Xenopus tropicalis: one gene and its partners. The protein of the gene in region 6 interacts with the protein of the main gene of each other region in a biochemical or structural test. Links are inferred from orthologs where the notes say so. Each region holds a gene or a part of one and is shown on either strand. Other genes may lie near its edges.

Evidence for each region.
Region 1: of the proteins of trim28 (region 6) and sirt1, one has a biochemical effect on the other in vitro, tested with the Homo sapiens proteins (2 studies listed by BioGRID). The link is inferred for Xenopus tropicalis from reciprocal best matches to the Homo sapiens genes TRIM28 and SIRT1.
Region 2: the proteins of trim28 (region 6) and irf1 form a complex in vitro, tested with the Homo sapiens proteins (2 studies listed by BioGRID). The link is inferred for Xenopus tropicalis from reciprocal best matches to the Homo sapiens genes TRIM28 and IRF1.
Region 3: the proteins of trim28 (region 6) and cbx5 form a complex in vitro, tested with the Homo sapiens proteins (6 studies listed by BioGRID, with this or other methods). The link is inferred for Xenopus tropicalis from reciprocal best matches to the Homo sapiens genes TRIM28 and CBX5.
Region 4: the proteins of trim28 (region 6) and cbx3 form a complex in vitro, tested with the Homo sapiens proteins (2 studies listed by BioGRID). The link is inferred for Xenopus tropicalis from reciprocal best matches to the Homo sapiens genes TRIM28 and CBX3.
Region 5: the proteins of trim28 (region 6) and cbx1 form a complex in vitro, tested with the Homo sapiens proteins (3 studies listed by BioGRID). The link is inferred for Xenopus tropicalis from reciprocal best matches to the Homo sapiens genes TRIM28 and CBX1.

The regions. Positions count from the first base shown.
Region 1 is NC_030683.2:38,239,829-38,244,011, forward strand, and holds the start of sirt1 (NAD-dependent protein deacetylase sirtuin-1), read left to right. Parts: upstream 1-1,383; coding exon 1,384-1,732; intron 1,733-3,753; coding exon of another isoform or gene 3,754-3,867; intron 3,868-4,183. UniProt on the Homo sapiens protein: NAD-dependent protein deacetylase that links transcriptional regulation directly to intracellular energetics and participates in the coordination of several separated cellular functions such as cell cycle, response to DNA damage, metabolism, apoptosis and autophagy.
Region 2 is NC_030679.2:36,218,882-36,223,137, forward strand, and holds the start of irf1 (interferon regulatory factor 1), read left to right. Parts: upstream 1-1,456; 5' UTR 1,457-1,548; intron 1,549-3,171; 5' UTR 3,172-3,176; coding exon 3,177-3,263; intron 3,264-3,862; coding exon 3,863-3,962; intron 3,963-4,256. UniProt on the Homo sapiens protein: Transcriptional regulator which displays a remarkable functional diversity in the regulation of cellular responses.
Region 3 is NC_030678.2:145,616,582-145,620,582, forward strand, and holds the start of cbx5 (chromobox protein homolog 5), read left to right. Parts: upstream 1-1,201; 5' UTR 1,202-1,347; intron 1,348-4,001. Other genes in the region: hnrnpa1 (heterogeneous nuclear ribonucleoprotein A1), read right to left, coding at 678-692. UniProt on the Homo sapiens protein: Component of heterochromatin that recognizes and binds histone H3 tails methylated at 'Lys-9' (H3K9me), leading to epigenetic repression. In contrast, it is excluded from chromatin when 'Tyr-41' of histone H3 is phosphorylated (H3Y41ph).
Region 4 is NC_030682.2:41,663,558-41,667,562, forward strand, and holds the start of cbx3 (chromobox protein homolog 3), read left to right. Parts: upstream 1-1,205; 5' UTR 1,206-1,251; intron 1,252-2,099; exon of another isoform or gene 2,100-2,123; coding exon of another isoform or gene 2,124-2,173; intron 2,174-4,005.
Region 5 is NC_030686.2:11,718,020-11,721,728, reverse strand, and holds the end of cbx1 (chromobox protein homolog 1), read left to right. Parts: intron 1-909; coding exon 910-1,084; intron 1,085-1,594; coding exon 1,595-1,689; intron 1,690-2,308; coding exon 2,309-2,453; 3' UTR 2,454-3,209; downstream 3,210-3,709. UniProt on the Homo sapiens protein: Component of heterochromatin. Recognizes and binds histone H3 tails methylated at 'Lys-9', leading to epigenetic repression. Interaction with lamin B receptor (LBR) can contribute to the association of the heterochromatin with the inner nuclear membrane.
Region 6 is NC_030683.2:102,982,378-102,986,616, forward strand, and holds the start of trim28 (transcription intermediary factor 1-beta), read left to right. Parts: upstream 1-1,439; 5' UTR 1,440-1,680; coding exon 1,681-1,918; intron 1,919-4,239. UniProt on the Homo sapiens protein: Nuclear corepressor for KRAB domain-containing zinc finger proteins (KRAB-ZFPs).

The DNA of each region.
Region 1 (4,183 bases), about 65 Mb from region 6:
ACAGGGGAGGAGGAGGCATATGGAATTTAAGGGTATATCTTAATATGACATAATTCTTTCACATATGAATGATGGTTGATATCCCCACAGTAAGCACCAAGCATTTGGGATTTTGCTGTGCTACCACCATTGTGATAAAATGTGTGTGGTTTGAAGTGGGTGTGGTTTCAAAAAGGGGAGTGGTCAAAACTGGCTTCCATTAGCGGCCCTCCACCACGTATGCTAGAGAAATTCCGGCCCTCGGCACTGCAGCACTGCTCTATAGCCATTCTAGTTGTTCATATTCTGTTTTAGGGCTCTGGCACACGGGGGAGATTAGTCGCCCGCGATAAAACTCCCTGTTCGCGGGCGACTAATCTCCCCGAGTTGCCTACCCCTGCCATCCCACTCGCGAGTCTTTTTCGGCGATTCCCTGAAATTGCCCCGCTGCGTCTGCCATCCCACCGGCGACTTACATGTTCGCCGGTGGGATGGCAGGGGTAGGCAACTCGGGGAGATTAGTCGCCCGCGAACAGGGAGTTTTATCGCGGGCGACTAATCTCCCCCGTGTGCCAGAGCCCTTAGGGTGAAGACACACAGAGCTACTAGTAGCAGCTACTTGTAGTGGCTACTAAATTAGACAATGCTGATCATTTACTGATAACCGTCTCTATGTGTTTTTTTTGGCAATTCTCAGTATTGTCTATGGCAGGGGATTCTCTGGAGTTTAGTAACCTTGAAAAAGTAGCTGCTACTAGTAGCTCCATGTGTCTTTCCCCTTAGGGCAGGGACACATGGTGAGATTAGTGACAAATCTCCCTTGTCGCGGGCGACTAATCTCCCCGCAATGCCATCCCACTGGCTACAATTTAAATCGCTGGTGGGGTGGCATACAATGCGCAGCAATTTGCCAAAGTCGCCCCAAGTTTCCTCTTAAGGCAATTTCGGCAAATTACATCCACAAATGTGTTATGCACAGAGCTTCTAAAAATGATGCTTAAGCCAAATATTATTAACCTACACTGATTAATGACGCCAAAATGGTTTCAGCATCTCCCCAGTTCTTTTCCCCCTAGACATGAGACAACTTCAAGAGAAAGTTTTTACACGGACTATAAAAAATGCCCCTCTCCTTTGGCTTTTGTATCTGCTAACAGGCTTTGCGGGCTTGACAATCACCACACCAACACACCCCTGAAAATGACACTTTATTGCCGATTTCGCTTTCCAACACCCTCTCCGTTCGTTGTGGCGGTGCCAGCGCATCCCCAGGTACCATGCGAGTGGCTAGTTTGTTATTGTACACGTCACACGGCCGGGGAACCAATAGGAAACGGTGTATCACGTGGTTCGCTGCGCTCCATCGTACAGCTGATGGGCGACTCCTTCTCTGGCAGTGGGAAGATGGCGGACTCAGATCGTGTAGGTTTTCCCATTGCCGGCGCTGTGTTAGCTGTCTCAAAAGAAAATGGCGAGCCCCTTTCCAAAAGGCAGCGCTTGGAAGATACCGGCGGGGGTGGGAGCCAGCTTGTGGGGGCTGAAAGCGAGGGAAAAGCGGCATTGCCGCCTATAGCTGCTTCTCTCCAGGAGGAAGGCGAGGCCTCTTCGGCAATGGAAAGCAAATCCAGAGCGCACAATGGCTCGGGCTTTCAGGGCCTTCCTTTGGGAACGTATTTGGTACAAGGCCAGGAGGAGGGCGGAGCCGAGGAGATGCCCAATGGAGACCTGTCGGATCAGGCTGTTGATTACGGAGGTTGGTTCCCTTTAACTCTTTCCCTACTAACAGCGGCATTGGGCGGGGCATATTCTGTAGGTGTTTGGAGGTTCTTCAGTGCAGTAATGTGGGCGATTCAGCGCATCAGTGGGTATAGAGTGCTACTCCTCTCTCCCTTCCATTTGCTAATACTGACCCATACAAATGAAGGTGCTTTTGCCAAGTTTGAACATATATTCCATTTAAAAACATTAGCAATGGTATATGTGAGTGAGTTATTATTAACATTTATTTATAAAGCGCCAACATATTCCGCAGCGCTGTACAACAAGTGGGTTTCATACATTGGACATACAGAGTAACATATAAAGCAATCAATAACTGATACAACAGGTGAAGAGAGCCCTGCCCAAGAAAGCTTAAAAGTTATGCTTACACCCTATAGTTGGGCCGCTGCTCCTTTGTAGAAAAAAATGCACCAGCCCAGGGTAAAATCTTCACTTACCTTCTCTTTGGAATCCCTACAGCAGGCAAGTCAAAGAGCTTTACTCAACTACACATGTACAAACCCAGGCTGTGAATGGCTTGGATGTGGCTAAAATGTAGGCACATCACTACTTTTCTTCCCTTCAGGGCATTTTTCCCAAAAGGGAGGCTATTGCCTTCTCTTGGCCTTAACTATCTACACATAGGCTGTATAGAGCTCATTAACTGTCCTTGTACTGGTAGGATAAAGAAACTTAAGGGTCCTTCCTGAAGGAAATTTCAGCCTCCCCAAAACAGCTCCTTAACTGGCCTCTTTTAGCCCCACAAAGTTACATTTAAAAGTGTCCATGTGTGTGAACCTGCCATTAAATGCAGAGTAACGGGAGTCACAGTCATCACTTTTTGTATCCTCACTTTGCTGACACAGAGCCTGAGGGACATGCATAGTTAAAGCTGATCCCAGAGTAGCTCCAACTGCTCAGGTTCTGAAGAAGTGCAAGGAGGTTCTGTGAAGTGCAAGGATGCATCTAATACAGGATTCGGCCATTTTCAGCAAGATTCTGAAGATTGCATAAGCAAATTAGGATTCGGTTCCGTATTCGGCCGAATCTTTTGCAAAGGATTCAGGGTTTGGCCGGATCCTAAAAATTGTGGATTTGTTGCATGAAGAGGATCTGAAGAAACAGAAGATGGCACCTATGATCTCCTCTACGGTACTCTGCATTTTTATGGAGGTTTCACAACAGTGCAGGTCGACCTAAAACCTGCATAACCCAGGGGTTGCAATTTGTGGGTGGTGAGCCAAGTTCACTGCCACTCCCTGATCTGTCTCTGTGCTTTTCCAGCCTCCATACTACTGGGGCAGCACTTTAGCTGGCCATACACAGGTATTTCAGCTTCCGATTCGGGTCCTTCAGGCCTACACGACTGACAGTCTTAAATTGTCCAGATCTCGATGGGACAGGTGTGGTTTTCTGATTGGGGATGCATTGTCTGACAGCACCTATGACCAGCGGGTGAAGATCTGCTCATTTTGTGATCTTTTTTAGCATAATTGTCCATGTGGAATGGGAGCAGGGAGTTGGCTAATGGAGGCTAGTTGAGGGTGCTAGGGTTTGGGGGAATGAGTTCCCATTATCAGCACTGCACACAGGGCAGTTCCCATTGTTTTTTGCTCACAATGAGTAACAACTCAGGAGGTGTGGACGAAACATTTAAAATTTCCACTAGTGATGTGTAAATCAACTGTCCTCTGGTCAGGTGAGTTTGGGTTGCTGGTTCTGGTGGGTCCAGGTGCTGGTATTGTTATACCTACCATCATCTTTTTCTGTGAGCCTCCACCTTGGTGACGTCACTAACAGATTGAGTTCCAGGAAAAAGTGTATTTTGTGACCCCACTCATCACTCATTTACACCCTTTCACTGAGAGTGATTATTAAATTGTTACAAAATGTGTTATCTTTGCCACAAAGACAAAAATGTACTTGTGTATTGGATAGAAAACGTTGTTCTTGGTGCAGTCTTTGTTTCAGAAAATGCCTTGTTTTAAACCCCTTGGCTGAATTCTTTTACAGCGGGTATCCATCTGGATGATGATCTTGCTGGTGGCTTTCATTCTTGTGACAGTGAAGATGATGATGGTGCATCTCATGCCAGCTCAAGTGATTGGGCACCCAGGCCCTGTATAGGTAAAGATGCCTATTTTTGTTATAGGCCTAGTTGTGCCTAGTAGAAAGAAATAACCATGCTAGCAAAATCTTTAGTTTATAACAGAATTATCCTTACTATATTAGAAAAAATTAGTTTGAGTTTGATAAATTTATAGCATTCTCCTCTTACAGCCTTACCAATGGACATTAGACAATAAATACACAAATTTTTTTTATGTTGGACACTTGTGGTGACCTCCACTGAGACCTTTCTTATTAGGGCTTCATAAATTAACTGGTACAGAATCCCTGCTACAAAACATTCTGCTGATAGCTTTCTGACCATCTTGTGGTC
Region 2 (4,256 bases), on a different chromosome or scaffold from region 6:
GGCCTCACTTGCCTCAATTAAGGTCAGTGTTCACGACTCCACCATAAGAAAGAGACTGGGCAAAAACGGCCTGCATGGCAGATTCCCAAGGCGCAAACCACTTTTAAGCAAAAAGAACATTATGGCTCGTCTCAATTTTGCTAAAAAACATCTCAATGATTGCCAAGACTTTTGAGAAAATACCTTGTGGAACTTTTTGGAAGGTGCGTGTCCTGTTACATCTGGCGTAAAAGTAACACAGCATTTCAGAAAAAGAACATCATACCAACAGTAAAATATGGTGGTGGTAGTGTGTTGGTCTGGGGTTGTTTTGCTGCTTCAGGACCTGGAAGGCTTGCAGTGATAGATGGAACCATGAATTCTACTGTCTACCAAAAAATCCTGAAGGAGAATGTCCGGCCATCTGTTCGTCAACTCAAGCTGAAGCGATCTTGGGTGCTGCAGCAGGACAATGACCCAAAACACACCAGCAAATCCACCTCTGAATGGCTGAAGAAAAACAAAATGAAGACTTTGGAGTGGCCTAGTCAAAGTCCTGACCTGAATCCTATTGAGATGTTGTGGCATGACCTTAAAAAGGCGGTTCATGCTAGAAAACCCTCAAATAAAGCTGAATTACAACAATTCTGCAAAGATGAGTGGGCCAAAATTCCTCCAGAGCGCTGTAAAAGACTCATTGCAAGTTATCGCAAACGATTGATTGCAGTTATTGCTGCTAAGGGTGGCCCAACCAGTTATTAGGTTCAGGGGGCAATTACTTTTTCACACAGGGCCATGTAGGTTTGGATTTTTTTTCTCCCTAAATAATAAAAACCCTCATTTAAAAACTGCATTTTGTGTTCACTTGTGTTATCTTTGACTAATAGTTAAATGTGTTTGATGATCAGAAACATTTTGTGTGACAAACATGCAAAAGAATAAGAAATCAGGAAGGGGGCAAATAGTTTTTCACACCACTGTATGTGTGTGTATATATATATGTGTGTGTATACATATGTGTGTGTATATATATATATATTCCATGCAACTATAAATAGTAAAACATATATGTATATTAATTCCTATAAAGTACTCCTACAGGTTGCAAACACCACCTGCTCACACTTCCCACAGATATTTACAGTGAGTAGTGAAGGTGTGAGCTGCTGCTGCCGCTGTTTTTACTCAGGGAAACACAAGGTGCAGCATTACTGCAACTCCCATCCCATTCCTTGCAATGCACAGGCCAGTAATTAGCTGGGATATCAGTTTCAGGCTCGGACTTCCCCCTTCTTTTTTTTTTTTTTTTTCTCTCTCCGCACTACTGTACAACAGCCTGATTTCCCCGAAATGATGCCGAGCTGCTAGCCCAGCCCCTACCAATAGCGGCGCAGCAAAACACATGGAGTGGGCGGGCCGAACAAACTAATACCTGGGGTTCCCCGCTATACATAATAAAGTCACTCAGGCTCTCTCAGGGAAACATCTCTCCAGGAATCGCTCGTTTAGGAGATATTTCTAATTCACGTCGCCCCTTTTCTCTCTGGATTACAAATTCCTGCTAGAAAGGTAAACTTCATCGTTTCATTTGCTTCTGCAGAACAAAAAAAGGACCTTTAAATGCACGAAACATGATAGAATCTGATGCTGGAGGCTGGTGATGTTCGGGGTGATGATCGCCTGGCATATTATGTGCAATGCATTGGGATTTGCCTCTGCTCTGGCACTGACGGGTATAGCTAATGATAGAAGATGGGGGTCAGGCTGAGGGTATAGCTAATGATAAAAGATCAGGATTAGGCTGAGGGAATAGCTAATGATAAAAGATCAGGATTAGGCTAAGTTAGATAGTTAGACAGCAGATCAGCAGCCAGTAGATGTTGCTGTGTGTGCAGTGGGCACTTTATCATGCTGTTATGTATTCCTTATTGCTTCTGTATCCAATGAAGGAGGAAGTTGGAATTAAAAAGCAGCAAGGCATAGGAGAATGGAAGACAAGGCTGACCCCTTGGTATAGATAGGGCAAAAAAATACATTTTTAGTATGGAGTGTGGGAAAGTTTGCACTGTATGATGAGACTGCATATAAATGTTTCCTGTGACTCTGTGCTGATCCTTCTGCAACTTGTGACTCTCCAGCTATTGCTGAACTCCTGTCCTGTGATGCTGGCAGAGGCACAGACTGCATATCTCTGCATGCAAACAGGAGTTAAATTCAGTATCTAAAGAGTAAAAATGCAGCTCAGTCTGTGTGTCGTGACTGCTCGTTTCCCAAAGAGGTTCTGCATCAGCTGTGAGCTGTGGGTCACTCTTCCTTGCACTGTAGAAGTGCTGTCTTTAATGTGCATGCGGGGAGGTTTAACTGTTTGTGGTCTGGGTGTTTGTGGTGCAGAAGTTCATTTGTTTCTTTACAGCAAAATGTTATTTTTTTTTTTTTGGTAGCAGCAGAGATCAGGGCGGTCCGTTTTATGCTGGCGGTAAAAACACAGAGGAAAAAAAACACAGCAGCCAGTTAGGTTGCGTTTCAGAGGATGTAAGCCAGTGCTTGGGGGCGTAACTATCCCTGCTATCTTCTTGTGGCTTCAAGCAGCACAACCCAGCTCTGTGAAGCTCCACATGTTGCTTTTGGCAGCAGCTTTCAGCATTGTGTTGTGCAAGATGGCAGTATTCCCACTTATATTCTCAAAGCTTGTAGTTTTGTCTTAGATTCAAAGGGAAACATTTAGGTGGCACTGGCATGTAATACAGTCTTTATATTTCATTGCACTGATTAAGCCAGTAGTAATAGTAGTATAGGAATAGGAGTTGTAATTCCAAATATATATATGAAAAAGTGCAAAAAAATGAAAAGAAATTGGTGTCTTGGCTGGATGAGAACATTATAATAAAATACACATTGGGAGTTTTATTTGCTTTGATGGAAATTTAATTTTATTATGCAGTATTTTATATGTGAGTTTAGCACTCCGTTTGGTTTTGCCAGTTCACAGGCAACTTTTGGCAACTGTTGTAGAACCATATTTCATAGTTGAAAACTTCAAGGAAGAGATCTGTGATGAATAGTAATAAAGTAATTTTACTGGTGTCATCCCAGGGCAGTTTGGAAATAACATACAAAGCATGAAGATTTCAAAAAAAGAATGGAATTCCCCACTGACAGCGAAAAATGACCTTGTGTGTTTTTCTTTTGCAGAAATAATGCCCGTTACACGTTTACGGATGAGGCCATGGCTAGAGGAGCAAATAAACTCCAACAAAATCCCTGGACTTTCATGGATCAACAAGGTAAGGGCATGTATACATGAACTTTCCCTTTAGAGCAGTGGCATACAACACATGTATAAGCCTGGAACTTCTATATTATGTTTGTCAGTTAACGCTGTGATGCGCTTGTTTATAAAAGGATAGCTCCTGTTTTAGTGCTACTGTCACTTTAATGTTAACAACCTTACATCTACATCTTTGTTAGTAAAAACAATTGCAGTTATGGAGTATATTTAGCAAAGAAGAAAAAGAAAATTCTGCAAGGTTTCTCCCTACTAAAATAACTGAAGCATTTAGAGAATTCTGTGGGCGTGGGAAGTGATTTAGGACATTTGGGAAGGATTTTCTGTTTGCTTTGTGATAAATGGCAGATTTAGGGTTAGAGAGATGTAGTTCTGCATAATAAACATTGCAAATATACTTATGGTTAACAACGTTTTCTATCTCTTTTAATCAATCTGCCTTGTGAATAACATTGCCATTATGTAAAATACTGGCCAGATGGCAACCCTGTACGCATGAGAATATATTTTATATAGTGGTTTGGCTATCAAAGCAACTTGTTTATAAACATCAGTGCTCCTTGGAGGAGGATAATAAGCAGATCTTCTCTTCTGCAGGAAGAAATGATATTTGAGATCCCTTGGAAACACGCTGCTAGACATGGATGGGACATCAATAAAGATGCGTGCCTTTTCCGTAGCTGGGCTGTCCATACAGGTACGGCTAAAAGGGTGGGTGGAAGTGCCTGCATATTATAAAGTCTCTAGGGGATGTATAAAGCTAATGTCCTGAAGCACAGTTTAGCTTAGATTCTTAAAGGAACTGGTAATATAACTGCAATATGTAGCCTTTCCTAGCCTGATTCTAGTTGTATTAGTTTAATGCCAAGTTGCTGCCCATGAACCTATGGTTAACAATTACATCATTAACAAGGCAGCCAATATGTCTCTCAGCAGATAATACAAGATGATACTTTTCTCTCATTTGCTTCTATCCCCAATATCCTACATT
Region 3 (4,001 bases), on a different chromosome or scaffold from region 6:
CAACCCATTCACCAAAATGGTGAATCACCAGTTTCCCCTCCCCCACCGCGATACCATAAGGGTCATTTTTTTCTATAGGAACAGGTTTCATTTAAGTTGAATGTGTAGAAGCCATAAATAGCGAGAATAATAAGTATATTGTTAGCCTGAACATCGAAGCTGAAAACACGCGTTTTTACAAATCCGGGAATAAGTTTGCCTTTCTGTTACCAATTTGTACGGTATCCGAGAGAGAGGTATTCTTTTATTTATTGCTAGAGAATATCTAATATGTATTAAGGAGAGGCCTAATCATGTGTGGCGTTAGAGAAAAGGCGCCTTCCAGCTACGGGCCACAGCGCCGCCATTAAGCGAGTAGAAAATAGGCGGTACCATAGCGCCTCGCAGGGTGGAGCGCACAAAATGGAGTCAGACAAAGGAACTCTACGCAAAGCTTCCAGCTCGGCGTCTAAAGAAAATCCCCAGCCAGGGCCTACATGTTATTCACATAATTTAGTCGTTATCTAATATAGCCTGACCTACCGTAGCACTCTCATATATACAGCATACAAAAAAAAACCTGGCCCAAAAAGGCGCCAACACTCCTACTGATACTTATGCCCATAACTAGAAGGCGTAAAACTAAACGACTATGATAAAAAGAACCGAATGCATTATGCACTGGCGCTAGGCCTTACCTCGGACTTGTGCATGGTGACTCTCCCCGATGTTAACTCAACAACAGCAGAAACAAAAGAGAAGCGACAGGAAGGAAGAGTGGGGGATTATAGCGCAATGGCAATGTATATTTAGTGCGCCAGAATACGCCCACTTGCCTCCTAATTGGTCGCTGTCTGCGTAGGCATCGTCGATTGGGCAACTAGCGTGACGTTTAACTTCAGCGATTGGTTAAGACGTTGAGGAGGAGGGGAAAAGAAATCGGGTACGTTTAGTCAGTCCTTTTGTCCGGCCTAAGTGAGGTGCTGGTACGCCCCGTTTTCTCATTGGGCGAGTGATTATCGGTGTGCATATTTTATACAGAGATTTCCGTACTGGCCCGGTGCTCGTTTTATAGAAGTTCGGGCAGATTTGGTTCTAGCCATTGAAATTACATTTTATAGGGCCTCAACCTTTGGTTATGAATTCTGGTGAATGGTTAGGCTGCAGTATGGCACGGACTGGGCATAGTGTGTACCCGAGGAGGGGCATTCCTTTAGGCTGGAGGGCGGTGTTGCGCATGCGTCTAGTGGGTTGTTTTTGGCGGGGTTTGGTCGCTGGCTGCGCACAGTACCGCTCGGTAAGAGCCTTCACTCAATTCCTGCTAGCGAGCAGCTTTCGGTGGGCGCACGGTGTATTTCGCGCAGGAAGGTGAGTACAACTCGCTGCCTCCCACCCCTCCTCGGCCCTTCCCATTCATTGGCTGTGTGAGGTGCTGCTGCTGGCACTGTGCGAATAATGGGGTGCCCCGGCTTCATTGTGGGAGACAGGGACAGTGATGTGGGAGACAAGGGGCGCTGCTGATTGGCGGAAGCTTGGGGGTCATTCGCAAACTTTGGGAGGAACGTGTTGTACCGTTCAGCCGTGTAGCCGGGCAGCGACAGTGCGAGGCTTAACTTAGGTACTTACCTGGGGCTTACAGACAGCGCTGGGCAATACCCATTGCTCTCTCCCCCTGGTATTGTATCCTGGGCTGGTCCTATTGGACTATTATACAATAAAAACCTGTATGGCATGATTCTGTTGTATATTCTCTGTATACAGATATCGGGCATGGCCAACATCCAGCTGTTCAGTTGGGGGAGGTGTAGTACAACAGCTGGATGTTGATGTGAGTCCTCCATTCATTCCATCATCATTGTGTGTCAGCAATCACATATGGAACGTCTGCTCTTCTGCACCCCTCCAGCTGCTGTGAGCTATGTCTGCACATATCAGCCAGCAGGTCAGAATGGTGTAGTTCAGCAGGAACAGTCTGCCAGGGGTTGGGCATCCCTAACCCAAGTAAAACCATGGCCTGTGGCTATGGAAATGGTAATACATGCAACACGCAGTACAGCAGCTTTACACCAGGCACATAACTTACTGGTATCACTTGAAGCAGAAAAGCAGTTTCTATGCAGTTGTCTCCATAGGTTAAGGCTATTTGCAGCAATTCCACACTTTTCTGTTAAATGAAGAGTGCCTATATTCAGAAATTCTGCCCTTGGAGGGGGGCGCATGCAACGCAAATAAGAGCGTTGCAAAATGGCTTCAGACATCACTCAGACCAGCTCTAGGCATTTCTATCAATCTCACCTCCTGTAAATAAAGTAAATACCTTGCTTACATGAGGCTTGAAGGGGGTCTATGGCAGGAGCTTAAAAACTACTATGCTTACAACCAGCTAGGCTGCTACCTAGGGAAAATGAAAAATGTCCCTAGGGAAATGAAAGGGAACGTGTATTTATAATATGACAATACACTTTAAGCAACGGCATTCCTTTAAATAACCTTCACACCTGCATGCCAACACAGCAAGCTTACTAGGTGTAATCACTAATGCTAACCTATAACCATACCATCTGGCAATTCTGTAGATTCTGGCAAATGCCAGAGGGGCTGCAGTAAGGTGTGGTAGACAGTCACTATTTATTGGGCCAGTGGAGGGGATTGGGCCTCCGTGTATGTCAAATACCAGGGCCTATTATGAATCTTAAGGTGTCCATGCACTGGGCAATTTTAGCTGCCAATATTGGTCCTTTAGACTGATTTGGCAGCTTATCTGCCCATGCATGGGCACCAACAACAGGCCCCAACTGACATCTGACTTGAAATCGGGCAGGTTTGATATTTACATTGAATTGGGGACCGTGTCGGCTCGTTTATGCAGTCTCTGAACTGATGGTGCCTATGCCCACCATTCTAATTCAATTGTTTGGCCCTAAGTTGAATTAGCCCAATATCACCCACTCGTAGGGGGCCTATCGAGAGAATATCGGATCTTACGGTGTATGGCCACCTTTAGTCCAGACTCCCAGATAAAGTCTGCTGGAGTATAGGGAGTAGTAGTTGAACAGCAGGAGGTTCACAGGCTGGACATGTGGGCTTAAATGTGCCTTTGTATACTTTATTCTTAGACTGTAGACATCTTATGTATATAAACAGTAAACATGTATAAACAGTGGGCAGATTTCCACATGGGCAGTAACCCATAGCAACCAATCCATGACTGCAGATTGAACAATGAAAAGCAAAAATGTGGTTGCCATAGGTTACTGGCCAGTGTTCATAAAAAAGCCCCTGTACACAGTCTACTTTGGAAGGGCAGGTGACATCTCTGTTTACCACTTGACCACAAAGGGGTTAAGATAACTGAGTGAAATTGCTCTTAACTTTCACTCTTATGTACTGTTTGATGACTTTATTATTTCAGGTTGCTTTTGCAACTTAAGGTGGAACTCCACCCAAACACAACTTAAGCGTTTTAAAGAGTAACTTTGTAATATACATCAATTAAAAAATATGCAGCAATTTCATGATTTTTAATATACAGGTATGGGATCCCTTACCTGGAAACCCATTATCCAGAAAGTTCCGGATTACGGAAAGGCCAACTCCCATAGACTCCATTATATGCAAATAATTCTAATTTGTAATTCTTTTCTCTGTAATTATAAATCAGTACCTTGTACTTGATCCCAATTAAGATATAATTTAATCCTTACTGGAGGCAAAACAAGCCTATTGGGCTGTTAAAGTAGTCGACTGTTCTTAACCTGCAACCTCCAAATCCCACAATCCCCTGCCGACGTGATGTCAGTAAGCAATGGTACATCATAGTGCAGTGCATTGTGGGTTATGTAGTTCTTGCATGCTGTCTGTAAGCTGTTGAGAACTTGTTACTATTTGTAACATCAATGTTTTAGTCCCTCCTCTCCCACCAGGATTTCAAATGATGCAGAAAGGTAACTGTTTTGAAGCTGGATTTCAGCATATAAAAATGGTATTTGTTTATACTTTTTGAAGGAACAGATTACAGTGAT
Region 4 (4,005 bases), on a different chromosome or scaffold from region 6:
GCTGCATCTACCTCGGGCTGGTGCTGTTCTCTCCGAACAGTGGCACCAGTCAGGGATAAAAGGTAGGCGATTTAAGTAACTTGGGGGTGCCCAACATTTTGGCACCCCCAAGTGACTTTGCCTTTCCTTCTCCTTTAAGTTACCAGGAGTGACTTTTGCTGCCCCTGGTAACTTGCCAGGCTCTGCCGTCTGAGGCGATAGGTGCAGGGGCACAGTTACTGTGAAGCGAGTTTAAAAACTCGCCTCAGGCAGCAGCACCCCCGAAGTTACCAGGGGAGGCAAATAGCCGCTCCTGACAACTTTAGGAGCCAAATTTCTGGTTTTTAAAAGGGAAATTTTGCTGCACTATAGCAGAGATTGCCATGGCACTCTCTACACTAGCGATGTGGCATGCCTGGACCCCCTCCCGTGCTGTAAAGGCATGGTAGGAACCTCCTCAGGTGGCTCAGGGGCAAGAAACACCCCTGGATAGGTGCAGTGCACTTGCATCTAGAGAATAGGTTCCTGACACTCTCATATTAAATGGACAGAATTTTTTTTAGCGCAATTGCATCTAATTTACAGCAAAGTTTGCCTGAAATTGCACTTGGCAGACTGCCCTGCACTTGTAAGCATAAATATTTTCTGTGTAGGTGATGTGACTGCTCAGCTGCCAGTGTATACCTAGAACGTCCAGATGATGAAACGCATACACTGGACAGACAGGGGAGTGCCTTCGTAAAATACACGAAAATGGCGGCCTAGTGAAGTGAAATATGTGTCAATGCCACATATTTCAAGCATTTTTTTTTTTTTTTTATTATTTGCAAACAAAACGACATGTATCAGTCAGACACCTACACGAGGAGCGACAGAGGCGGGCGGAGCCTGGGACCTACCTTTCAACACGTGACTCACTACTATTAAATATATAATTCGGGTTTTCTTTTATCATTAAGACCCTGACTTCATGGGCTCTTCAACTACACCCGTGTAGATTGTACCGGAATTGACATTAACTGCCCTCAAGGCAGGCTGTCCTATTTTGTCAGGGTGCCGCTTCCCTTAGACCCATGGTATTGAAAGAGTTACTGTTCGCGCCAGTAAATTCCCCGCCAGTGTGTTGGTAGGGCCCATTGTTCTGCGCGTCACTCGGGCCCTCCCACTCCTGCGCACATCGGAGCTGCAGGCAGCCGCGGCTTGGAGAGCGTTTCTCGGTGTGAGGGGGACGGAGCAGGAGTCACCGGGTGCTGGTTATCCAAAGAGAGTGAGGTACGGGGATGAGAGAGAGGAATGTTGTACCCGGGGGCATGAGGAGGGAGAGGAGCAGCATGGGAGAAGCACGGCCCGGCAGGGTTGGGGAGGCGGGAAAATTGCTGCTAGTTTGGGAGAGAAGCGGAGGCCTGCTGCAGAGTAGCAGCACAGACCAATGGGTGGGAGGCATTGTGTAAGGGCGGGGAGGCCGTTCTGCAAACATACTGCCTTGTCTTCAATTGCTGCTCACCGCTACCTGGGCTTGTTGGGAGCTGTAGTTCAACGGCAGAAAAAGTCACAACTTTCTATTTCACGTATATATCTTGCCGAATGAAGAGCGGCCCCCTAGCACTTATATGACGCTAGCAGTGTTAGTGGTATTCCGCCAGTATTCCCATGCCCGGTGCAGCGCACAGTAACTCTCACATAGTGCTAGGATGGATACCCCCTGAGTTTCTCTGTATCACTGGGTTTCTTTACAATGAAGCTAATGCTGTTCGGTACGGGGGGTGCGCAGGCGCGAAGGTTCGTGGCCTCTAGGTGGTTAGTAGGGAAAGTAAAGGGTATACAGGGCAATGGCTACCCGGGCTGGACAATCATAGGGAAAGCTCGGTGCCGCTGGTTATAATGGTTTCCAACTGTGCCATGCAGTTTCCCCTGCGACAGTCTAATCTCTAGTTTCCGTGAATGTGTGTTCCTCATCTCCCTCCGGAATACATTCGGTTAATCAATCATGTTGCGGCTCATTCACATGTACGCATGCGTGTTGGAGGGGGTGGGGGATGCTTTTGCTTTCCGGCTTGGGAGGTGAAGCGGCGTAAAACTTTATCTGGATGCACGTTGCGCAGAGCTGCTTTCACGCTAATGTTGTATGGGGGGGCGGGGGGGTTATGGAGTCTCGCACGGCAGTCACAGCAGAAAATTCCTGCCTTTGTTTCTGGTATGGCAGAATTTCGCCTCACGGCAGACCGCTTTCTCATTTCAAGGGACAGTGTATCCCGTGTTTATAGGATTGGCTTAGTGATAAGGGCGTGTGCTGAAAGGAGACTTATCATAACAAATTAAGAATGTACTAGTGAATTATACTTTAAATATAGAAGGATTGTGCTTTAAAATAGTTGTTTCAGACTGATTTATTGAAACATTATACACAGACCCCTCTAGTCCCGCCCATCTGTTCCACTTCCTGCAGGCTGAAATCTCTGGATGTGCAGGGGAACCACTGGCTCTTGGCACACTGCACTGTAGGATAGGAACCTACGCTAGGCGGACCCAATAGGGAACTGAAGTATGTCTTTGCTTGTGAATTCAACTGTTAGGATACTCCCGCCCTTCATTTGAAGCACAGAAGACTGATAGGATCTACATGGAGCTCCAGTAAAGGAGACCTTTTTACAGATAGGATTAATTTTTAGCCCGAAGTGACACCAGCACCATATAGTATTCATAAGTGCCTACAAAATTAGGGGTTTTTCCACTTATCCAATGTCTCATTGAACTTCATTTTTCCCTGTGTTAATTATTTATATTGTTTTATTCTTCTTTGCACTAAACAGGCCAGAATCTTCAGGTAGTCACTTAGAGGTGTTTAGATTAGTCCTTTTTCTGGAGCAATGAATTGCCTTTTGAGTGCTGAACCTGTTCTAATAATCAAATGAAAAACCAGTCTCTTAAGGTTTGGGATAATACCCCATAGTTTCCAGTGAAATTAAATCTCAAGAAAACCTAATTGACAGAGGTTAGGTTTTTATTTTTATCTCTGGAATAAAAATGTGCCAGCCTAGAGCTCTTTAAGTAGCAGTGATACCACAATACTGCACTTTTCCCTGGAATTCCTAGTGTAAACAGACTAGCACAAGCACGGTATACTACCATTGGAAAATTTTTATTAAACTGGACATGTGCAAGTTTGTGCTAGGAATCCTTGGGTAAAGTCTGGCACTTTTTGTGAGAATAGTTGGCCAAAGAAATAATTTTCTAACTTATTGGCACCCTTGTGCTTTAACATTATAACTTACTACATAGCAGGGAGCTAGCACCTAATTGTAAGCATAATACAGTTTGTGTTGGGATAATTTTGATAAGGCTGTGAAAAAGTGGTGCATATTGTCTTTGGAATGGTGCTCACAGTATTAGGGGCTGTTCCTTTACAGAAGAGGAGTGTTTCTATTAGGTTAGGTAGGATCAAGCATAGCAGCTATCAGTGGGCAGTGCTGGCACGGTGTGTACTGTGCTAAGAACTTGTACTGTATGTAATCAGGGAGCAGGAGGCTGGAAATTCTCTCATGTGACCAACAGTCTGAAGTGCCATTTTACACTAATGTTAACAGGAAAGTTTGAAATGGAGAGTACTAATTGCATATACAATTATTGGTTTATATTGATAACTACTGTATTAATAATGCATGTCTTGTAACATATGTTTCTGATATCTAAATGTCTCTTAAAGGGGTAGTGCACCCCAGTGAATAGGGCTTGTGCCAAATGCACTTCTATCTTATTTAAGAAAAACATTCTTGTGATTTCTTGTAGTAAACTGGCACAATCTAAAACAAAGTTGCATTCTACTTCCTGGCTGTATAATTAAGGTCAAAACAGATCTGCGTTCTACTGCTGTTCCTTATCTCTGTCTTACAGGCTGCAGCTGGGCAAGGAATCTTAGTGGGCAACTGATTTGTTTTGACCTTGATTGTAGGGACGGGAACTTTGAATGAAAGGGAACCCAAATGAAAATATCTGCTTTTGTTTTGTGCAAGAAATCTCAATTGTACC
Region 5 (3,709 bases), on a different chromosome or scaffold from region 6:
GATGCCTCTATGATGGGTGTATGGAGGGCTCCCTGCACAGGGGTACCCAGTATTACACATGTGACTGGGGGAACCTGAGCAATTCAGAGGCCAATTGGTCTGACCCATAGTAGTGTATCTTCAGCAGAACCAATTACTGAACCCTGTAATTACCACTAAGGCTGCAGGGGTTATAGATAAGGGGCTTTAGCCTGGCACTTATAGAGTTAAATTTGCCCACTGCCAGGAGCTGCCACAGAGAAAATCATACGTTCGACAGTAAAAATATGTTTCATGTTTTTTTTTAGTACAATTGTCATATTTGTAGCAACTTTTCTGTTGGTCTTCATTTTTAGCAGTGTTTGAATTATTTGCCTCTTTCCAGCTTTCCAATGGGGGGGGTCACTGACCCCAGCAGCCAAAAAGCTATTGTCGGCAAAGGTCAGCAAGGCTGCTGCCTTGTGTTTTTTTTATTGCTTCAAAAGTCAGAACCCCCAAAGCAGGGAATAGAAAAGGACAAATGCAACTTCTAATAGCAATTATATATACAAATAAGCTGCTTAGAATTATGTTTTCTTTTATTGGGCAAAAATTATATTTTGGCTTGACTTGCCTTTTAAATAAAACACCCTAAATAGATAAAGATAGTTCAACCGGTGATTGAGGCTGGGATTGAGCTGAGAGTTGTATTTCAGTGACGGCTGGAGGGCTTCATCTTGGACATGGGCGATACAGGTCCTTTACTAGGGCCACTATATTCTCTTTAGTGCCGGCCGTGCCCATTAGATATTACCCTGCAGCTTGGCGTGCCCGGCCCCTTCCCAATGCGGAAGAAACTTGGTTGCAGTTGCAAAGCAACATTGCGCAGTTTGGATGAAGGGTCTTATTGTGGGGGGGAGAGAATTCTGTGAATCCCTGTGCTGTTTGCAGCGACGATAACACCTGGGAGCCGGAGGAGAACTTGGACTGTCCCGATCTCATCGCAGAGTTCCTGCAGTCGCAAAAATCCGCGTACGAGTCGGAGAAAACAGAGGCAGGCAAGCGCAAGGCTGACTCCGACACCGAGGTCGGCGAGGAGAGCAAACCCAAGAAGAAGAAGGATGAAGTGAGTCAAATGGCTTTTCAGTTGCTTTTAAAGGGAAAATGCCCCCTGCAATGACAGGAGCTCACACTTCTGTAGAAATAAAGACAAACTAAATATCGAGAAATACATATACATACATACTGTCCTTTTTACACAGGTAAACCTAATTCCACAGATTGGGAGGAAGCCATGATAGTCTGACTCGTAAGATCCGTCCTTCCCACCCCTTTAGGCTGACAGTCATTTAAATCCCTTTTCCATGTTGAAGTGATGGATTCTGGGACTTCAGGAAAGCAGAGCGACTTGAAGTCCTAGACTACCTTATTTTTCCCAGCAGACTGTGATATGCACAGGCCTCTGGACATGGAAGGGTCTAGTACAAATCAATTAGTTACCTTGTGAGCACCCCAAAGAACAGAAGTTTTCCCACGTGTCGGCTGAGTTGTAAACCATCAGCTCACTCGGTATTTGGGGCCAGTGATGTGGCACCACCACAAGTAGCCACGTAACATAACCTCCTTCTCATTCCAGGTGGAGAAACCACGTGGTTTTGCACGCGGATTGGAACCGGAGAGAATCATTGGTGCCACAGACTCCAGCGGAGAGCTGATGTTCCTAATGAAATGGTGAGATCCTTGGGGGGGGGGGGTCCCTTTCTACACCTCTCCTAGGTCATTTGCAACTTTAAAGGGGATGTTCACTTTCAGACAATAGTCTGAAGCTAAAACTCTCTCTGCTCTCTTTTTGGAAGGGATCACGGACACCAACTTGTGTTCTGGCCACAGAGCATGCCTTCCCTCTCCTGCTTCATTTGCATTAAATTGATCGGATTGGCTGAATTTTGCCAGCCAATGGTTTCAAAGATATGCAAATAAAGCAGCAGAGGGAAGGCGTGCTCTGTAACCAGTTCAGTGTCAACTTCCTGTTTAGCCAGAATGGTGTTGGAGATCCCTTCCAAAGAGAGAGTTTTAGCAGCAACGATCGGTAGCTTCAAAACAACTTCAGACTATTGTGTGAAGGTGAACATCCCCTTTAAAACCACTGGAAATGTGTATTGCATTTGAAGTTTGGGTTTACTTACCTTTACATCAGTCATGTAGCAGATATGACTGGCTCCAGTGTGTATCTGCTTCTGGGAACCCTGCATGACCCTAAACATAATCCTGTGCATGCTCATTGGGGTGTGCTCCTTATTTGGGGGGATACAGTGCTAAGCAGCAATGGGTACATCCCCCTCCCCCACAGGAAAAACTCAGACGAAGCCGACCTCGTCCCGGCCAAGGAAGCCAACGTTAAGTGCCCCCAGGTGGTGATCTCGTTCTACGAGGAGCGGCTGACGTGGCATTCTTACCCTTCCGAGGAAGATGACAAGAAAGACGAGAAAAACTAAGTGCCCCCCAACAATTCACCAACGATCCACAGTTAGCGGGTGAGATGTATACGCCAGTCACTCACGCCAGAGTGAGGAAGGGGGAGAGCCGTGGAGGATTCAGTCTGTCCTGAATATTTGGTATGTATTATCGGCAGAAATCCGGGGACACGTGGACAGGAGGAACCTAGCACAGGGGACACTGCATCCTACAAGCTTCTCCTCCTCCTCCTCCTTCCCGATAGTGTTACAAACTCTGCATTTTTACTGAGTAGCATGTCCATTTAGTGATGTCTGTGGGTGAGACGGTGAGGCCACGGCGGGAGGGGGGACAAAGCGCTTCGATATCATTGTCACCCTGGAAAGAAGAAAGACAGTCCAACAGGTAGCTGCAGATCCTTCTGCCTAGGAACTCGCCACGTGGGGCTCTTTGGGGACCCTGTATAAGAACGGTTATGGGAATCTCATTGCTGGGTGGGGGGCGGGTGTCCTGGCAGGCAGGAAGCTGAAACAGGTGCTGATCCCATTTTCTAACACTTCCCCAGAATTCCTTCAAGCTGAGGCCCCGGGGTCTCTGCCATCACGCTGTGACTACATACAGATTCATTGTATAAACTGTCAGATTTGTAGTTTTTTTCCTTTTTTTTTTTTCCAGGTTTTTTTTTTGTTTTTTTTAAAAAAGCATGTGTTTTAGGTTTGTGCAAACTTCGTTTTAATGTAAAGTAATTCTTAGCATTTTGTCAGTCTGTCGTCCTAATAAAACTTTTAGATTTATAATTCATTGTCGCTCTGTTTGCTGTGCCCAGAGCCTGCTTGCAAGGAACCCCCCCCCCCCGGCCAGGACTTGCCCTGAGAGGGGCAAATCTATTTAGTGAGTCTCTGCCAGGCAGATAGAGAATCATCACTGTGAATCTGGTATTGCCAGAGATGAAAATGTAACTTGTTTTGAGGGTTAGTTCACCTTTAAGATAAGTTTTAGTATGTTATAGCATGGCCAGTTCTTAGCAACTTTTCAATAGGTCTTCATTTTATTTTTATAGTTATTGAATTATTTGCCTTCCCTTCTGTTTCCAGCCTTTACATGGGGGTTAACCCTTTCCGATCCTAAAGGCATAAGGCTGCAGGCTGAGTTATACAGGGAACTCTGAGTATCACTCACGTATTATAAGGGATAATGTACCCCCTACTGTAAATGATAAGGATATTAGCAGTCACTGAGGGGTTCTGTGACCATATAAAGGCACAAGGCTGCAGGCTGAGTTATACAGGGAACTCTG
Region 6 (4,239 bases):
ATTTTCGGCGATTTGCCGAAATCACCTGCGCAGCGTGTCATCCCACCGGCGACTTACATTTTCACCAGTGGGATGGTAGTTCGGGGCAATTAGTCGCCCGTGACAGGGGAGATTTGTTGCGGGCGACTAATCTCCCCGTGTGCCAGAGCCCTAAAGGTGGTCCTGTGTGTTTATGTGCTAAAAGGGAGTTTCCTTGTTATTCAGCAGCAACCACTAAGTGGCAGTGTGCTGCAATATAAAAGGGCATGCAGACATGTTCTGTTAGGTCTTAGTCCTGGGACTGCCTCTGTTAGGAGGTGTACAACAGGATAGTGTTCTAGTACAGGAGGTACTGTAATAGGTCACTCTAAGAGTGACAGGCAGGCTAGAGAGAATGGGCAGAGATAGCCCCAAAAGGAGAGAGAAGGGTTAAGACCCCCCAGCATTCATGGCTGGAGTCCAGGTCCTGTAGTGTTTAGTAAGAGGAGCCAAGTCAGCACCTGGGAGTGTTCCCAGTGAAGGGGCCCTACGCGTGGACCGGGGTGAGTTCCTAGGTGGGATCACCTGGTGGGAGTACCGGGGGTAGCCAAAAGAGAGAGTGTGTGACTTGAGCCATCTGTGTGACATCCTCTGAAGTGTTCTGCCTGCATCAACAATAAAGCAAGTTCATCTGGTTCATCATTTTAACCAGTGTCTTGGCTGTTCATATACTGAGGATCCTCAACTGTCTGGTAAGCAGCTACCCCAAGGGAGGGGCAAGGTACCGGGAGTTGCTGGGAATCCTGGTCCAAGGAGGACATCATAGAGTTTTCCCAGGGAGGAGATATATAGTTCTACCTATACCTACCCTGGGTGAAGGCACGCCATTTATTTAGATCATACCTCTCCCCCATAGATAAGCGGGGGCTCAGGGCTCCTGTAGCGCCACACGCAGGTGATTTGCGTGTTAAAAGTACCATAGTAGCCAAAATAGGGTTACAAGTATATTAGCTATCTTTATATGAGAGAATGAGGCATGACCAATGTTTCTTCTCTAAATCTCTAATTATTGCTTTAGAACCCTGCAGCCTGAGGAATCTAGGGAAAGTCAAGCACTTATTCATATTGCATACAAAATAATCATTTGATTGGTAAGTCAAGTAATTATCTAAATGTGTGGAAACTATTGCCCAGGGTTGAGGGCAAGATATTCTTTGATCTATGCCTGAATGACTGATCCACCAATATTTTCCTATTTCTGTCTCAGGAATCAGGGGGGCCTGAACAAAAAGTTTGACAACCACTGCTCTACCGGCTAATAAAGCTTTGCTAATGGCCCAAATCAGCACAGACATATAAGAAATAATCCCCCTTAGTAAAAAAAAACAAAACACTGGAGTAGATCACACAAAACAAATAAAATGTAATTCTTATTTAACTGCACTTTACTAAGACACTCAGCAAGTCCATGCCCCGCCCATTCCTGACATCACACTTAGTGGGCATGCACTTTTTGAATCGATCGCTCCGCTAGGATTTCGGCGCTTTGCTGTTGGGGACGTCCCGTCCGTGCGTGCGTATCCATCCGCTGTTTGCGCGATAGTTCGGTACAGCAGGCAGGCAGGCCGCGGGAGCCAGCAGAACAATAGAGTCTCTCGGAAGAGGCGGGAAAGTCTTCTCTTGCGCAGGCTCCTCACAAAGGGAAAGAAAAACACCCCCAACATGTCGGTAGCTGCAACGCGTGACAAGCGGAGTGTCCTGAGCACCGACAATGGCAACGGAGGCAGCGGGGAGCCCGACGGGCAGGAGCTACTGGAGAGCTGCGGGGTGTGCAAGAAGCAGTTACGGGCGGACACGGAGCCCCAGCTCTTACCGTGCCTGCACTCCGTGTGCCGGGCCTGCCTTCCGCCAGAGACCCCTGCGCCTGAGGTGGCCACTAACAGCGGAGACTTGGCTTCAGGTATGAAAGAAAGAGGCGGGAGGCCTGCAGCTCTCCTGCTCTGAATGTGCGGCTCATGTTGCCGCCCACCTTCCGTGTGGTGTCAGTGTGGGAAGGGGACCCGGGTTCTAAGCCTCAGTTTCCGGCCCACCATGCTCAATATCTGAACAAAGAGCTGCCTTGGTGCCCAGGGGAATGCCAGGCCATGCACGGTGCCAGCTTACTGTGTGCACCCTGTCTGCTCCCGGCATGGCACCCTGTCTGCTCCCGGCATGGCACCCTGTCTGCTCCCGGCATGGCACCCTGTCTGCTCCCGGCATGGCACCCTGTCTGCTCTCAACATGGCACCCTGTCTGCTCCCAACATGGCACCCTGTCTGCTCCCAACATGGCACCCTGTCTGCTCCCAACATGGCACCCTGTCTGCTCCCAACATGGCACCCTGTCTGTTCCCGGCATGGCGCCCTGTCTGCTCCCGGCATGGCGCCCTGTCTGCTCCCGGCATGGCGCCCTGAGTGCTCCCGGCATGGCGCCCTGAGTGCTCCCGGCATGGCGCCCTGAGTGCTCCCGGCATGGCGCCCTGTCTGCTCCCGGCATGGCGCCCTGTCTGCTCCCGGCATGGCGCCCTGTCTGCTCCCGGCATGGCGCCCTGTCTGCTCCCGGCATGGCGCCCTGTCTGCTCCCGGCATGGCGCCCTGTCTGCTCCCGGCATGGCGCCCTGTCTGCTCCCGGCATGGCGCCCTGTCTGCTCCCGGCATGGCGCCCTGTCTGCTCCCGGCATGGCGCCCTGTCTGCTCCCGGCATGGCGCCCTGTCTGCTCCCGGCATGGCGCCCTGTCTGCTCCCGGCATGGCGCCCTGTCTGCTCCCGGCATGAGAGGAAACTTCGGCAAATCGCGGTGCCGCATATGCCACCCCACTGGCGATTAACATTCTAGCCGGTGGGATGTCGCAGGCGACCAATCTCCCCATGTGTCACAGCCCTTAGGGCTCTGGCACACGGGGAGATTAGTCGCCCGCGACAAAACTCCTTGTTCGCGGGCAACTAATCCCCCCGAGTTGCCTTCCCCTGCCATCCCACCAACGAAAATGTAAGTCACTGGTGGGATGGCACACGCGGCAGCGCGATTTTGCGCAAATCGACGAAGTTGCCTCGCGAGGGTTTTTCGGCGATTTGTGTGAAAACGCGCCACCGCATGTGGGCAGGGGAAGGCAACTCGGGGAGATTAGTCGCCCACGAACAGGGAGTTTTGTCGCGGGCGACTAATCTCCCTGTGTGCCAGAGCCCTTAGGGTGAACACACAGCTGCTAGCTACTACACACAGAGCTACTAGTAGCAGCTACTTGTCGTGGCTACTGAAATAGACAATGCTGATAATTTACTGATAATCGTCTTTACGTGTGTTTAAGGGCAGTGACAGATGGAGAGATTAGTCCTTGAGAGGAAACTTTGGGTGACTTCGGCAAATCATAGCGACTCGTATGCCATCCCACCAGCGATTTACGTTCTAGTCAGTGGGATGGCATTGCTGGAAGATTAGTCGCACGAAGATTTGTCGCAAGCGACTAATGTCCCAGTTTGCCACTGCCCTTAGTAAAGGCAATTCTCATTTTTTTCTATGGCAGGGGTTTTTTTGAAGTTTAGTAGCTGTGACAAGTAGCTGCTACTAGTAGCTCAGTGTGTCTTCACCCTTAGGGCAGTGACCGACGGGGAGATTAGTCGCCCCGTGTCAAATCTTCGTTGTCGCAGGCAACTAATCTCCCCCGCAATGCCATCCCACTGGCTAGAATATAAATCACCGGTGGGATGGCATACGAGTCACTGAGATGTCCTGAAGTTGTCATGACAGGAAACTTCATGCGACTTTGGGACATTGCAGTGACACGTATGCCATCCCACCGGCGATTTACATTCTAGCCTGTGGGATGGCACTGTGGGAGATAAGTCTCCCCGACTTGCCATCCCGTGCATACGTGTTGCTTTGGTTTAACGAAAGGGTTTCCTTGCTAGGAAACTTTGGGCAATTTAATAACCACAGTTGATTCTTTAAACTACAATTACATTTACAAATAACATTAAAACCATCGTTAAAAAATGTGTAATATATATTTCTAGTTATTTAGATTTTTTTTTTTTCCAGTTTGCAAAAAAAAGTTTTTTGGGTTTTAATACTCCTCGTTGTGTAGCAGTCACAAGAGGCTTGATCATATATGGGTGAGACGCAGCATGCAAGAAGTCCATAGACCATTGCAATTCTGACAGAAATGTCAAACTGTCTTTTTCCTGATTTTAAGTTAAAGGGTGACTTGCAGAAAATATCCCTCAGTTTTTGCTAAACTTTCAT